Linked DNA regions of Xenopus tropicalis. The protein of the gene in region 2 purifies or fractionates together with the protein of the main gene of each other region. This does not show direct contact. Links are inferred from orthologs where the notes say so. Each region holds a gene or a part of one and is shown on either strand. Other genes may lie near its edges.

What was found.
Region 1: the proteins of sf3a1 (region 2) and snrpa fractionate together in Homo sapiens (co-fractionation; 3 studies listed by BioGRID and IntAct, with this or other methods). This does not show direct contact. The link is inferred for Xenopus tropicalis from reciprocal best matches to the Homo sapiens genes SF3A1 and SNRPA.
Region 3: the proteins of sf3a1 (region 2) and sart1 fractionate together in Homo sapiens (co-fractionation; 3 studies listed by BioGRID and IntAct, with this or other methods). This does not show direct contact. The link is inferred for Xenopus tropicalis from reciprocal best matches to the Homo sapiens genes SF3A1 and SART1.

Annotation. Positions count from the first base shown.
Region 1 is NC_030684.2:78,498,216-78,502,822, forward strand, and holds the start of snrpa (U1 small nuclear ribonucleoprotein A), read left to right. Parts: upstream 1-1,310; 5' UTR 1,311-1,544; intron 1,545-1,605; exon of another isoform or gene 1,606-1,627; intron 1,628-1,932; 5' UTR 1,933-1,951; coding exon 1,952-2,024; intron 2,025-2,162; coding exon 2,163-2,335; intron 2,336-3,002; coding exon 3,003-3,176; intron 3,177-3,255; coding exon 3,256-3,435; intron 3,436-3,959; coding exon 3,960-4,048; intron 4,049-4,607. Other genes in the region: UPF0692 protein C19orf54 homolog, read right to left, coding at 880-952. UniProt on the Homo sapiens protein: Component of the spliceosomal U1 snRNP, which is essential for recognition of the pre-mRNA 5' splice-site and the subsequent assembly of the spliceosome. U1 snRNP is the first snRNP to interact with pre-mRNA.
Region 2 is NC_030677.2:144,342,051-144,346,190, forward strand, and holds part of sf3a1 (splicing factor 3A subunit 1), read left to right. Parts: intron 1-721; coding exon 722-796; intron 797-3,259; coding exon 3,260-3,410; intron 3,411-3,913; coding exon 3,914-4,110; intron 4,111-4,140. UniProt on the Homo sapiens protein: Component of the 17S U2 SnRNP complex of the spliceosome, a large ribonucleoprotein complex that removes introns from transcribed pre-mRNAs.
Region 3 is NC_030680.2:38,861,674-38,866,451, forward strand, and holds the start of sart1 (U4/U6.U5 tri-snRNP-associated protein 1), read left to right. Parts: upstream 1-1,481; 5' UTR 1,482-1,549; intron 1,550-2,354; 5' UTR 2,355-2,555; intron 2,556-2,615; exon of another isoform or gene 2,616-2,702; intron 2,703-4,778. UniProt on the Homo sapiens protein: Plays a role in mRNA splicing as a component of the U4/U6-U5 tri-snRNP, one of the building blocks of the spliceosome. May also bind to DNA.

The DNA of each region.
Region 1 (4,607 bases), on a different chromosome or scaffold from region 2:
GTTAGCTTCACTGTGGCAGGAACTAATGTGGTGATGTATAATCTCTGTAAAGGGATGGTGCTATATAAATAATAATAATGACCAGAAAACTGAAGCTGACTCCAGATACTTTACTACTCATAACCAGACTACTACACTGGCAATTAGTACAGGGAAGAGCAGTCTGGAGTCTGTGGGTTCCTCAAGCATTATTATATAGTATACTTTGCAATATATAGGCAAAGACTATATAGCCCACATTCTATTAGTATGTGATATTTAGGCCTCAGTAGTGGATATCAAAATATTGTCACCAGAACTATGGCAAATATACAATTCCAAGCAAATATCTTGCAAGGAGGATTCTGAGCTTTGCAGTTCAAGTAGCAAATTCAGTCTCTATACCTGCCCCTGCAAATTGTGCTATGAACACCTTTTTGCAGCCTTTGGACAGAACTGGGGTGCAAAATGCAAGCTATTGCAGTGACCCATTGCCCCTGGTCTGGTTACTGTAAAAATAGATCTTGACCTTGCTAAATTCTCTACTCTGACCCTGAACTGTGGGTGTCACTTCCTAGCAATTCAAAGCAACAGGTCATTGTATCAACTCCCCAAGGAAGTCCTAACTGAAAATCTATTTTATTACAGGCGCATTAAACAGATCATTTTAATACAAATTTGGGGTTCTAAAAAGACTTGACTTTGGGTCCCTGTAATTCTAGTAATGCCATTGCACGGAGATGAAATTGTGTTGCTACTGGGAGGGATTGTGTGAGAGATTAAACATTTTCCGAGACGCTGAGGAATATGTCGTTTCTAAACCTTACATTGCAGATTTAGCTACAGGTTGTAAACAAGATCTGACACCGTACTTTATAGCATGTTGGTGAAAAAAACTACCAGATCCGGCTTCAGTTCGGAAACATTCTTTGACCACGTGTGTACTAAACCATATATGTATCCCCTTGTTCATCTGTACAGGTTAATTTATTCATTTTAATTGCCAACGATAGTATCTTGAAAACTATCACCTAAGCTATAAACGCCATGAAATCATATTCACGAACACCTACAACAATAGCAAAACAATATAGTCACGTATGCCGCAGGAGTCCGTTTCCTGTTTCCGGGAGGAATATATTAGCAGCTGCACCGCGTTCTACGCCTCGGCCTCCGATTTCATTGGTCGCGCGGCTTGCTTTGGGTTATTGCTATAGGGTGAAATGGCTTTCACTTATGGCTTGCAGCCAATCGATGAAGATTTGGGTAGGTCACCAATGATATACCTGCAAGACGTCGAGAGTTGCTGTAGCAACGCGGCCTAAGTTAGACGTAAATTGGGCGTTGAATGAATTTAGGTACAAGGCCTTCCGGTGGCGGCAATCTCAGTTAATCACATTGGGTTTTAGTGCATGCGACTTGCGTTGCTATCTTGAAATATTTCCTGCTATTGTACGTTCCATCCGGGAAGTTTATTTCTTTTCCAGCGTACCGTATTCGTATCGTAGCACAAGCCCAGCGTTTAATTTGGCGGCCCTTTTAACTGTATCATATCCAGGCTGAGGGTAAGTATGCTTCCGTCCCGTTCATTGTTATATCTTCCCGCTTCCTAGCTGTGCCACAACAACTACGGGCCTCTCACAATCAGGTCCCGGCTGTGATATTTCAACTTTAATGTTACCCTGTGTTCTTTGCATGGCTGTGTCAGGGGCTGTGTAGTTTTGTTATGATCTGGGTGTTGATAATACTAATAATACTATGTTACTACTATATGGCTCGCAAAGGAAAATATATTGTAGACCTTAGTTTGCACAAGTAAATAAGTCTGCGTGTAGTATAGGCACTGGTATATTATATGCACACTCTGCTCATACATAACTGGGCTTATGTACAGACTATACCAGGGCATTGTTCTATTTTAAGATGCAATTAACCCTTTTTTTCTCCCTTCAGATTAAGTTGTTGAGGAAGTATGGCTGTTCAAGAAGTCAGGCCTAATAACACAATCTACATCAACAACCTGAATGAGAAAATTAAAAAAGATGGTGAGTTAAGGCTGTAGCAATCCCTGGAGCGCAACCTAAATCTCTGTACCAGTGTTTACATTACTGCAATTTAGTGCTATTTAGAATTACTTGGTCTTTGAAAATCCAAAGATTTGACTTTTGCTTTCTTCTCTTTAGAGCTAAAGAAGTCTCTTTATGCCATATTCTCACAGTTTGGTCAGATTCTGGATATCTTGGTGTCTCGCAGCCTGAAGATGAGAGGACAGGCTTTTGTTATATTTAAAGAAATAAGCAGTGCCACAAATGCTCTGAGGTCAATGCAGGGGTTTCCCTTTTATGATAAACCAATGGTTAGTATTTATTGTAGTTTTTTTCCCATTTTTCATTTACTTTACTTCAAAGTGTTCTTTTAGGATAAGTCTATGGTTATAGAGACATGAATGATATCTGACACTTTATGGAAAAATGGTCAGTGACAGTGGAATGACCCATATATTTATATGAAAGGACATGGGTGTATATACCATCTTACTGGCAGATTAAAGGACTAGAAACAATTTTCCAAATCCCCCTGCCTATAAAGTAAACATACCTTTGTACGTGCATATTTGGGGTGTATGCTAATTTTCATTGAGGGGTTGAGAAGAAACTATGCACTCCCATATTGAAAAGGATATTGTACATAAGTTAATAACATCTTCAATAACCATCCTTCATAATATTTTTACAGGGCTCCTGGGTTAATACTTGTGAATGTGTGGGAGTTTACATCTGCTTAGGTAGTTTGCATGGATAGCTGTGCACATTGTTGCTAAAGGAATCCCACACCCAGTGCAATTAAATATATGGCTTGTTTGTTTATCTGTGCTCATTATTTCTTTAGAAAAAAAGAACTATAAAGCCAAGTTGGGTAGGGTGGTGGTGGATACATTCTGTTCAGTTTCCATACAGTATCTCCTCCCATTCCATTAAAACTTGGTTATTTTAGTCTTTATGCTGATTTTGCTTTTACTCCAGAGAATACAATATTCAAAATCCGATTCTGACATCATTGCCAAAATGAAAGGTACCTATGTGGAAAGAGACAGAAAGAGGCAGGAGAAGAGGAAGGTGAAAGGCCAGGAAGCTCCGGGTGTTAAAAAGGCTTTACCAGGTGCTGCGTTGCTTCCAGGCGTTCCAGGACAGATGGCGGTAAATACATACAATTTTTTTTTTTTCTTGAAAGAAACCCGTTATGTTGTGCACAGCCATAATTTTATTTATTTTTTAGGGCATGCAAAATATACCTGGTATGACTCAAGCTCCACGCATGATGCATATGGCTGGGCAGGCACCCTACATGCATCACCCTGGTATGATGCCACCACCAGGGATGGCACCAGGACAGATCCCACCAGGAGGCATGCCCCATGGACACCTGATGCCTGGGCAGATGGCACCCATGCAGCCAGTAAGTTAGACTACATCACCAGATCTGTCTGTGGGTGATAGTCTCGCTAGCTTTTATAAAGAGTACCTGATGTCTGCTAGCTTAACTATTCTTTGCAGCTTTCGGGGGAGGGGGTGCGGTGCTTAAAGGAGACATATTGGATAAATGGGGAAAACCCTAATATTGTAGGCAATTATGAATAATATATGGTGCTGGTTTCCCTTTGTGCTTAAAATTAATCCAATCTGTAAAAATGGCCCCTTTATTGGAGCTCCCTATAGATCCTCTCTTCTGACCATGTTTAAAATGAAGAGTGGGCGTTTCCTAATGGTCCCTGCCAGAAGCACAACTTTTTTAAGCGCAATCCTTCTATATCTAGAGGAGTAAAATTCACTGGTACATTCATTATTTTTATAGGATACATCTCCTTTAATATACTGGCAACTCCCAATAAACCTGGTGTCTTTCAAGAGCTGTCCACAGAAACTGCCTGTGTCTGAGTTTTTCAGTCATAACTTTGAATGCTGTTTTTTATTTTTTTTTAGATTTCTGAAAACCCACCTAACCACATCCTCTTCCTCACCAACCTTCCAGAGGAAACAAATGAGCTAATGCTATCTATGCTGTTTAACCAGTAAGTATTGCACAAAATATAACTGTTGTACACTGTCGTAGTTGCATAAAAACACCCTTGTCATATTTCAGTATTGCAGGGCAAAATTATGGAGTGGAAATTGTCCACAAAAAACCTTAATAAAAATATAACTTAGAACCTACAGAATAGCCGGTCTTTTCCAAGTCTGGCATGTTTTGCTTTTGCCCTTACTGTAACTATTTGGCTAGCATCCTGCCTATAGTGAGCAATTGGCTGTAGTTTTGTAGTTAACCAATTGTATTGTAAGTAATGCTTACACTGGAGACCTTGTTTCACATACAGGTCCTTTTCAAAAAATTAGCATATTGTGATAAAGTTCATTATTTTCTGTAATGTACTGATAAACATTAGACTTTCATATATTTTAGATTCATTACACACAACTGAAGTAGTTCAAGCCTTTTCTTGTTTTAATATTGATGATTGTGGCATACAGCTCATGAAAACCCAAAATTCCTATCTCAAAAAATTAGCATATCATGAAAAGGTTCTCTAAACGAGCTATTAACCTAATCATCTGAATCAACAAATTAACTCT
Region 2 (4,140 bases):
AATGATTAAAATATCAAAGTAGTTTACTTCCAGCCTGGCCATTGTTATTTAAATATGCTGCTTATGCAATGCTTTGTCATAATCACTTTTCATATTGTATAAAATGAGTGGCTGAATATTTTTATGAGCAACTAAAATGCAGCTGTTAACAAGTATTAACTATCTTTTAAAGGGGTTGTAAACCCAATAATAATACTGTCCCCCTGCTCCCCCTAGTTTTGCTAAATTGTCAAAAAACGTAATTTTGGATGCAAGAAAATCCACCAATGAGCATTTTACTGACTAAAAAAACCTCATAAGTGCAAGAAAAGAGACCGAGAACACTGGTTCCCAGCACTATGCCAGGCATCTTGAAAAGAACAGGGAGCCAGATTTACAAAGATTAGCTGGGATTCTAATTGGTAGATTTTTTGCATGTTAATGCAGCTGCTGGCACTGGAGATATGGAGAAAGGATTAGAAAAAGTTCTATTGCTTTAAAAATGCAACCCTGATTGTGCTGGACTACAACTCCTAGCATGCCACAAACTTCATTATATGTTATTGTTCTGGGATTTGTAGTCCAAAAACAGCTAAGTAAACTTTGGTTTAGCAGTGCAGTGCAGCAGGTTTTAGTACCCCCTTTAAGCTGCACTGTCAATATTGTCATTTATAGGCTCTAAGTAGAGATGGCTCTCGTGCACTGTGCCCCTGATATCCCTCTGGTAATCTCTTTCTTTCAGATCCTGATACCACCAAAAGGATTACTTGTAAAGCTAAAGAAAGAAGCTGAAAACCCAACAGAAGTATTGGATCAGGTAATGCAACCCTCTGCCTTCTAATATATTCTACCTGCATTTCTGTAAATTAGAACTTTTGTTGATTACTCTACAGTCTTTATGTTGGCTCCAAGTATACTTTCTGTTTTAAAGGACACATAAAGCCTAAGTTGGGCACGTCTCTTTCACCCAAATGGCATTATTTGTACTGCATATATCCCATCCGTTTGCCAGCACCATCACATTTTCGTAAAGCAAATAGCAGCTTTCACCCTGGGACCCTTATTCAGCTTACATTTCATCAAGAATGCAGCCTCACATAGGCAGAACTGTCTGATAAAAGTTCTACTTTGTTTGGACTGAGTTCAGGAGAGAAAGTTAGGAGAAAAAAATTGAAGCAGAAAGCTAGAGCTGAGTTTCTATGGAAACCAGCAGTGCCATCTCTTCACTGGCTGCTAGACTGGAGGGCGTGTTTAGTAATCTGAGTTTAGAACAACTAAACATGCCCACAAGCCAGAAGTCAATGAAAAGTCAAAGCAAATTCCTGAGGGAGGGGACCGAGTGGCTTACAGGAGGAGAAGGAAATCTTAGTTATTTAGGGGATGTTGCAGCCTTACTAACCTTATTAACCTCTGGACAACCAGAGTAGCAGGTATTGAAAGATTTCCAAGAGGATGTTCACTGATTAAATTTGTGTGTGTGAGGTTTACATGTCCTTTAAGGCTGCTTATTCAGTAAGTAGCAAGTTATTTTTTTATTTATAGCAATGTAGTTGCTCCTTAAGTCTTAAATGCAATTTAGAGTATGTAAAAGCTAACCTTGCAAAGCTATCACTTTGCCAATTATGTTATTAACCTAACTGTCCAGTGTTCTCTAAAAGCAGCATTGGTTCAAGGATTATTTTTTTTTTGTAAGTAAATGCAGATTAACCTAACACCTTCCACAATGCCAGACATTGGCTAGAGTGATGTTAAAGGAACAGTAACACCAAAAAATAAGTGTATAAAAGTAATTACAATATAATGTACTGTTGCCCTGCATTGCTACAACTGGTGTGTTTGCCTCAGAAAGACTACTATAGTTTATATAAGTTAGCTGCTGTGTAGCCACAGGGGCAGCCATTCAAAGGAGCAAAGGCACAGGTTTTTTAGCAGATAACAGATAAACCCCCATTATATGGGGCTTATCTACTAGTTATCTGCTATGTAACCTGTGCCTTTTCTCCTTTTTTCCAGCTTGAATGGCTGCCCCCATGGCTACACAGCAGCTTATTTATATAGTAGCTTTTCTGTAGCAAAAACACCAGTTTTTTGCAGAACAGCAGCACATTATATTTGAATTACTTTAAAACACTTTAATTTTTTGATGTTACTGTTCCTTTAAGGTTGCTGCCATTGGGCTCTGGAGCAGTGTAAATGTGTTAAATGTGTAATGAACCTTAGTTCACAGTCTGGCAGCCAGGAAAATGCTACCTGCCTAAATGTTTAATGCTTTTGTTTAGTTTGGTGGAGTAAAATAACAACAAAAAAAAGTAGTTTGGAGTAGGAACCCAGATTCTAGTAAAAACAAACTAGAATTCTTCTACATACAGTGCAATTTTTGACGCTATGCTTCCTACCTTTTGGCAACACTTTGGGGAGGGCCCTTTCCTGTTTCTGCATGCTCAAAGCAAAGTCTGTGCAGAATCAGTTGATTAAAGGAGAAGGAAAGGCTACACAAGAGTTAATCTCAGGCTGGAGGCTTACCATCCGTAGTCTGAAAGGTGCCCTTAAGTCTCCCCATATCTCCATGGATTACAAGAAGATAAGCCAAAACGGATATAAAAGCTAGGAGCTGTGTGCAGAAAGTTCCCATAATCCCTCGCTGATTGCCAGACTTCAGGACTTGCAACCGAAACGGCACATGCGCAGTTGTCTCTTCTCTGGGGGCGCACAAGCAGGCGCACTCCCTGCAATCAGATCTCTTGAGCCGGCCCCTAGAAGCGTGCACTAGCAAGCGTCTCGTTGCTATGGCGACGCGCCGTAAGCAGAAGCCTCCGGCGGCGTTCATTCATTCAAGGAGCACCTAGGCTGGGGGGAGGGAGGAAGCTCGCGCATGCGCAGTAAATACGCCAAAGGAGAGGAAGTGGGCATACAAATTCAAAGATGGCCGCGCCAAACCTTAGATAACACTGAAACTTTCGGGTAAGATTTTATAAGTTTCTCTTACTATAATTGAGCCCAAAGTGTAGTGTTTTTCTTTATCTATACTGGGACTATGCATTGGTACCATTTATAAAATTTTCCTTGCCATCTCCTTTAAATGGATGTGGAAGAAGTTGACTGCAGAGCCCTAACTACAAATGCCTATGTGATGTATTAGTAAATAATTCGAATAAGTTTACCTAGTTTAGCCTTTTGTTAGTATAAAACAATGCAGCTATCAACATTTTGCAATAATTGTCTATGTGCCTCTACCTTCTGCCTTTTCTTCTCACAAATGTTTTGTGTACTCTATAAGTAGGTGCGTTATCGTGTGGAGTGGGCAAAGTTTCAGGAAAGAGAGAAGAAAAAAGAGGAAGAAGAGAAAGAGAGAGAACGTGTTGCCTATGCACAAATAGACTGGCATGATTTTGTGGTAGTGGAAACTGTGGACTTCCAACCAAATGAGCAAGGTAATGCAACAAGTGCATTTGAATAGAGATATATTTTCCCTTTCCTAATTAGCTGTAGAAAGTACAACTACAGCATTCATCCCTAGGAAAAAATGGGTGGGTGGGGAAAAAACTTGTTCTTTTCCCCCACCCTGTTGCTGTAATAGAACAGGTTTTATAGAAGCTAATTGGACTGTGTGCTGCTGTAAATACACTGCCTCTGCCGACTTTTGCAAACCGTTTTGTATCACAGCAAGAGAATTGCATGCAGGAGAGGGGAGTTTGGTGGTTCCCAAAAAGTGCTGGGAGATGTGCCCTGCAAAAACACCTTGGGTAAATTACTGTGCTAGTTACTTTGTGTCTGGGTTTTTAAAATTGGATAATACCACAGATAAGTAGATATAGTTGAATACAGTATGAATCAGTAGGACAAGGAGTCTTACCATATTTTATAGTCTTTGTGCAAGTGAGTCTGAACCCTTCTACCGTATAATAAGTTTTATGAAAATATTTGCCTTTTACAGGTAACTTCCCACCTCCAACCACTCCAGAAGAGCTAGGGGCTCGAATACTTATCCAGGAGCGCTATGAGAAGTTTGGTGAGAGTGAGGAGGTAGAGATGGAAGTGGAATCTGATGATGAGGATGAAGTGAAGAACAACAAAGCAGAGGATTCCTCCTCTCAGATGGACCAAGATACTCAAGTTCAAGATATGGATGAGGTGAGACATTTTATGGTTAATTCTTGCATG
Region 3 (4,778 bases), on a different chromosome or scaffold from region 2:
CCGTACTCATTGCCTTTCTTGCTATAAGTGAGGCAGTTTTATTTAAAAGTGGAGTCAAAGAAAGAAAAATAAAATAAAGGTTATAGCAGGACTGAAAGGTCTCAGAGAAGCCCACATTATGTGGACAAATCGAGTGTACAAGGCGATATGATGTATGAACTGGGAAAGAACAAGAGAGAAGTGACAGGGAGAGGCTAGCAGAGAAAATTACAATTTGCTCTACAATCTGCACTGGTTGATTTTTAGACAAATTCTGCCCATTATCTTAGCAGGGAAAAAACTCCAATGTTAGTGGAAAAAGACACCAACAAGCGGATGAACTGGGAAGGGGAAAGGAGACATAATACAGAAACGCTGCACTGACTTCTCTTTCAAAAGATACAGGATTTCTTGTCTGTTTGTTTTCCTGTGCCAGAGACACGCAGCTCTCTCCTGCTCCCCCCTCCCTCAAGAATGCTAAGAACTCTCTCCCCCCCCCTTAGGAATGTGGATCTGAGCCAATCAGCAGGAAGCTTCCTCATAGTCTTACAAACTGAGCATGTACACCGGTCTTGGTCTTGCTGCATGAGTGAGGCATTATGGGAACCTTCTTTACAGAGCTCAGTGCTTTTTCTTCCTGTTTGGCTTCTGATCTTCTGAACAGGTGAAATATGGGGAGACTTAAGGGCACTATTGAGACAGCTGAAGGTATGCCTGCAGCTTGAGATTAAGAAGTGAGGCATTATGGGAACCTTCTTTACAGAGCTCAGTGTTCTGATCATCTGAATGGGAGAAATATAGGGAGACTTAAAGGAACAGTAACACCAAAAAATAAAAGAACTTTAAAGTAATAAAAATATAATGCACTGTTGCCCTGCACTGGTAAAACTGGTGTGTTTGCTACAGTAACACTACTATAATTTATATAATAAGCTGCTGTGTAGCCACGGGGGCAGCCATTCAAGCTGGAAAAAAGGAGAAAAGGCACAGGTTACATAGCAAATAACAGATAAGTTCTGTAGAATACAATAGTGTTTTATCCGTTATCTGCTTTGTGCCTGTGCCTTTTCTCCTTTGAATGGCTTCCCCCATACTACACAGCAGCTTATTTATATAAATTATAGTAGACTTTCTGAAGTAAACACACAACTTTTACCAGTGCAGGGCAGCAGCACATTATATTTTAGTTACTTTTATACACTTTCATTTTTTGGAGTTACTGTTCCTTTAAGGGCACTATTGAAAGAACTGAAGGTATGCCTGCAGCTAGAGATTAACTCTTTATTAGCCTTTCCTTCTCCTTTAAATGGGTAGAGAGCAAATATCAATTGAGAAAATATAACCTTTATATTTAGGCAGAGTTACTGAGGGGCAACAAGCCCTACATGCCCTCAGTCCCTGGGAAATTTGCTACAGGTTCTCAAGATTTTGGGCACTAATAAGGCTGCTCAGCCAATATGCACAATGTTTTCTGCTAAATCACAGAGGTTAGTACTGTTCCAGAGAGGAGGAGCCGAAATACAATTAGTGCAGTGCTGTCAGTGCCATGTGTATATCTTACTAAATCTATGTATGTGCCAATGGTTGAACCTGTGCTTACATGAGTAAGTCTGTATGTCTGATTTATAAGCTCCACCAACACTACTTTCCCCCCTAGCAGGAATTAGGCTCCACATTTTCATTTTCTTAGAATCCTGGTGAGTGGATTGTGCTTTGACATGGTATCTAATTATAAAAAATCTTTTTTTCCACTGTTAGTAAAACTAGAAAGTTTTGATATTTCTAAATATGTATAGCGATTTTTTTAATACAGGTCATGTAACTCCAAGGTGATATATATTACAACAGGGGGTGCATTATTTATTATAATACATAAGTTCCAGTAACTCATGAGATTACATCACTGAGCGCTGATTATATCTGATTCATCACTAAGTACTGTTTATAAGGATATCATTTACAGGATATTTGCAGCTCTTGGCTCACACAGGAGTTCTGCGTTTCCTGCATGTTCACCTCCATCCAGTCAATGAATATATACTTTTAATGGGACACCATTAAATAGTTTGCCCTTGGCAGCTTCCACCACTGCAAAACACAACTGAAGTATCATTTACCCATCAGATATAGAAGACATTAGCATTGCTATGCCACTTTTACTAAGTGTACTTCAGCTACCAAAATAAATGTTAGTTCCCACTTTTTTGGGGAATCGCAATTACAATAACTACATTCATCATTTCCTTATTGTATTTATTTATACTTCTCCTTATCTATAGTTATATGGGGGCGTCAAACACTTCCGGATAACCGTATCGTTTGTCAAAACAAAATGTAATGGTGAGCAATTTGAATTCTTTTCCGCATTATTTCAGACAACAGAAAAAACCCAACAACATTTAGAACATAGTCTGAGCCAACCTCCGGATCTGTAGGAATCGGACCGTCGCATATAAGCGCGGTGAGAGGGTAGGGCGTATGACGTATTAAAGAATGCGACGGACAAATATTGTTACGTAACAACTGCGACGGTGGTGGCAGACATTTTGGGAAACGATACATACACGGCAACTAAAGTAAGAATAATAATTTGCACTGCTGAATGTTGACACAATGTAATAGGATGCGTAAAAGAAATTTTTCAGTTTGGTTGAATGCGTTGTATAGTTTAGGGAGTGAGAGGAGGCGGGAATATTTGCATTCGATCCACGGGGATTGCACAGGTACCCTTTCAACCAAAAACTCCTTGCTTCCAGTTACTTATCGCCTTCATGCTTTGTAAGCATGTCTTGTACGTACCTGCCTTTTTTATTCTAAGAGCTCGAATGATAACTCTGGCCCTGTTATGAATTCATCAGCCCTATGCTGAACATCATAATGCAGAATTTGCCATTTATCCTTGGATTCTCTCAAGAAAAACAAGGTTGTTATTAGATTTTAATGCTCAGGAAGGGTCTTGTTTAAAGGAGAAGGAAAGTTAAAATCTCTGGGGGATGGCACAGTATTGTAACAGAGCTTACCCCATTTATTGTGACCACCTAGATCAATGTTTCGGGGGCTACACCCTCCTTGTGCCTGGATGGGACGTATGTCCTGAACCCCCTCCCCAAAAAAACCATTGATCTAGGTGGGCACAATAAATGGGGTAAGCTCCCCAACGGCATATATCGTTGTGTGTGAGCGGCTCCCTTACAATACTATTTGCTGGAGACAGGGACCTGCCAGTCCTATGGAAGGCTTGCACCACCAGAGCAGTGGATGTGATATTTATACAGGTGTGTGGTGAAAATGATTGTGTTTGTATCCCGAGCGGCAAAATGTTAGGCACACCCCAGATATTAATGCCATCCCACCTGCTAGAATGTAAATCACCGGTGGGATGGCATAAGCGGTGCTGCGATTTGCCGAAGTTGCCTTGAGAGGAAACGTCCACGACTTCGGCAAATTGCGGTGCCGCGTATGCCATCCCATCGGCGATTTACATTCTAGCCGGTGGGATGGCATTTCGGGGAGATTAGTCGTCCATGACAAGGGAGATTTGTCTCGCGGCAACTAATCTCCCTGTCTGTCACAGCCCTTGGAGTAAAAAATAAAGAGCTTTTTGCTTTAAGTTTGGCATTTCATTCTGTTGCACATGTGCACCTGCCAAAGAAAGAAGAGAGTGGTGACATGATGCTTGCTTTTTTGTAACAATGTAGCAGAAGCCAACTGATAAACAGTTGAGAAGAGCTGAGTAGTTGCAATTGGAACAGACAAAGGCTACATTTTGTGAAATGATTTTTATGTTATAAAAGTAATAATTGCGTCTTGGAAAGTTCCTTAGAACATCAGTTTCTTTCATTAAGAAGATTTTTTTATTTTTGTGTTTATATCCCCTTTACAGTTGGAGATTGTATATTTTAATTTTAAGGAAGTGTTGTTTGATCACCAGAGGTGTGTGTTTTTTTTTTTTTAATATATAAATTACTAGGCATTTATTAAAAGTTATTCCTAATGAAAACACATTTTTTTGTATGAAGGTACTTACAGCATCAGTACCATATTCTCACGGGTGTTATTTATTTTCTAACTCTCTTTTGGGATTTTTGATCCCTTAACTAGCACCTACCTATCTGCCCTGTGTTGTCTGTCCACTAGCTATTTTCATCTTTTACACAGTTGCTTATGCTTGTACCTCACTGTCTTGTGTTTCCAGAACAAAATATTTATACAGAATATACCACTAAATAGCAAACCTCAAAGGTAATACGTCTGTTTTAGCTTTTATAATTAGCCAAGTCTGCATATTTTCTGGGCTGTATTTTGTTAAAGGTAAACTGCTGCATTACTACATTCATTCAGGGAGGATTGCATTATAATGTATATGACATTGTGTACAAGGCTGAGACTGAAAATGAAAATAGGCCCTGGCATTACAATTGAAATTGTACAAATTACTAACCGTGCCCCCACAGGCCTAGTAATTGTCTGTGGCATCTTACAGCAGCCACTCTGGCATTTGGCAGAATCTACAGATTGTCAGTCAGGGCCTACTGTCTACATAACTAATACATTACAGTGGCTCTTAACTGACATTGAAATAGACATTAAAGCTTATATCTATCCTGTACAAATGCTAGGCAAGGATTTACAACTTCCCTAACATGGGAAACAACATGCCTAGATGCCTAATATTGCACATTTCCTTTTACTAATATTCTTTATATATACATTATCATCTTAATGCCATCTCTGTGGGGCATCTTTATTGGCACTGCTTCCTAACTTAAATTATTTAAACTCTCAGGGCACAGGACCTT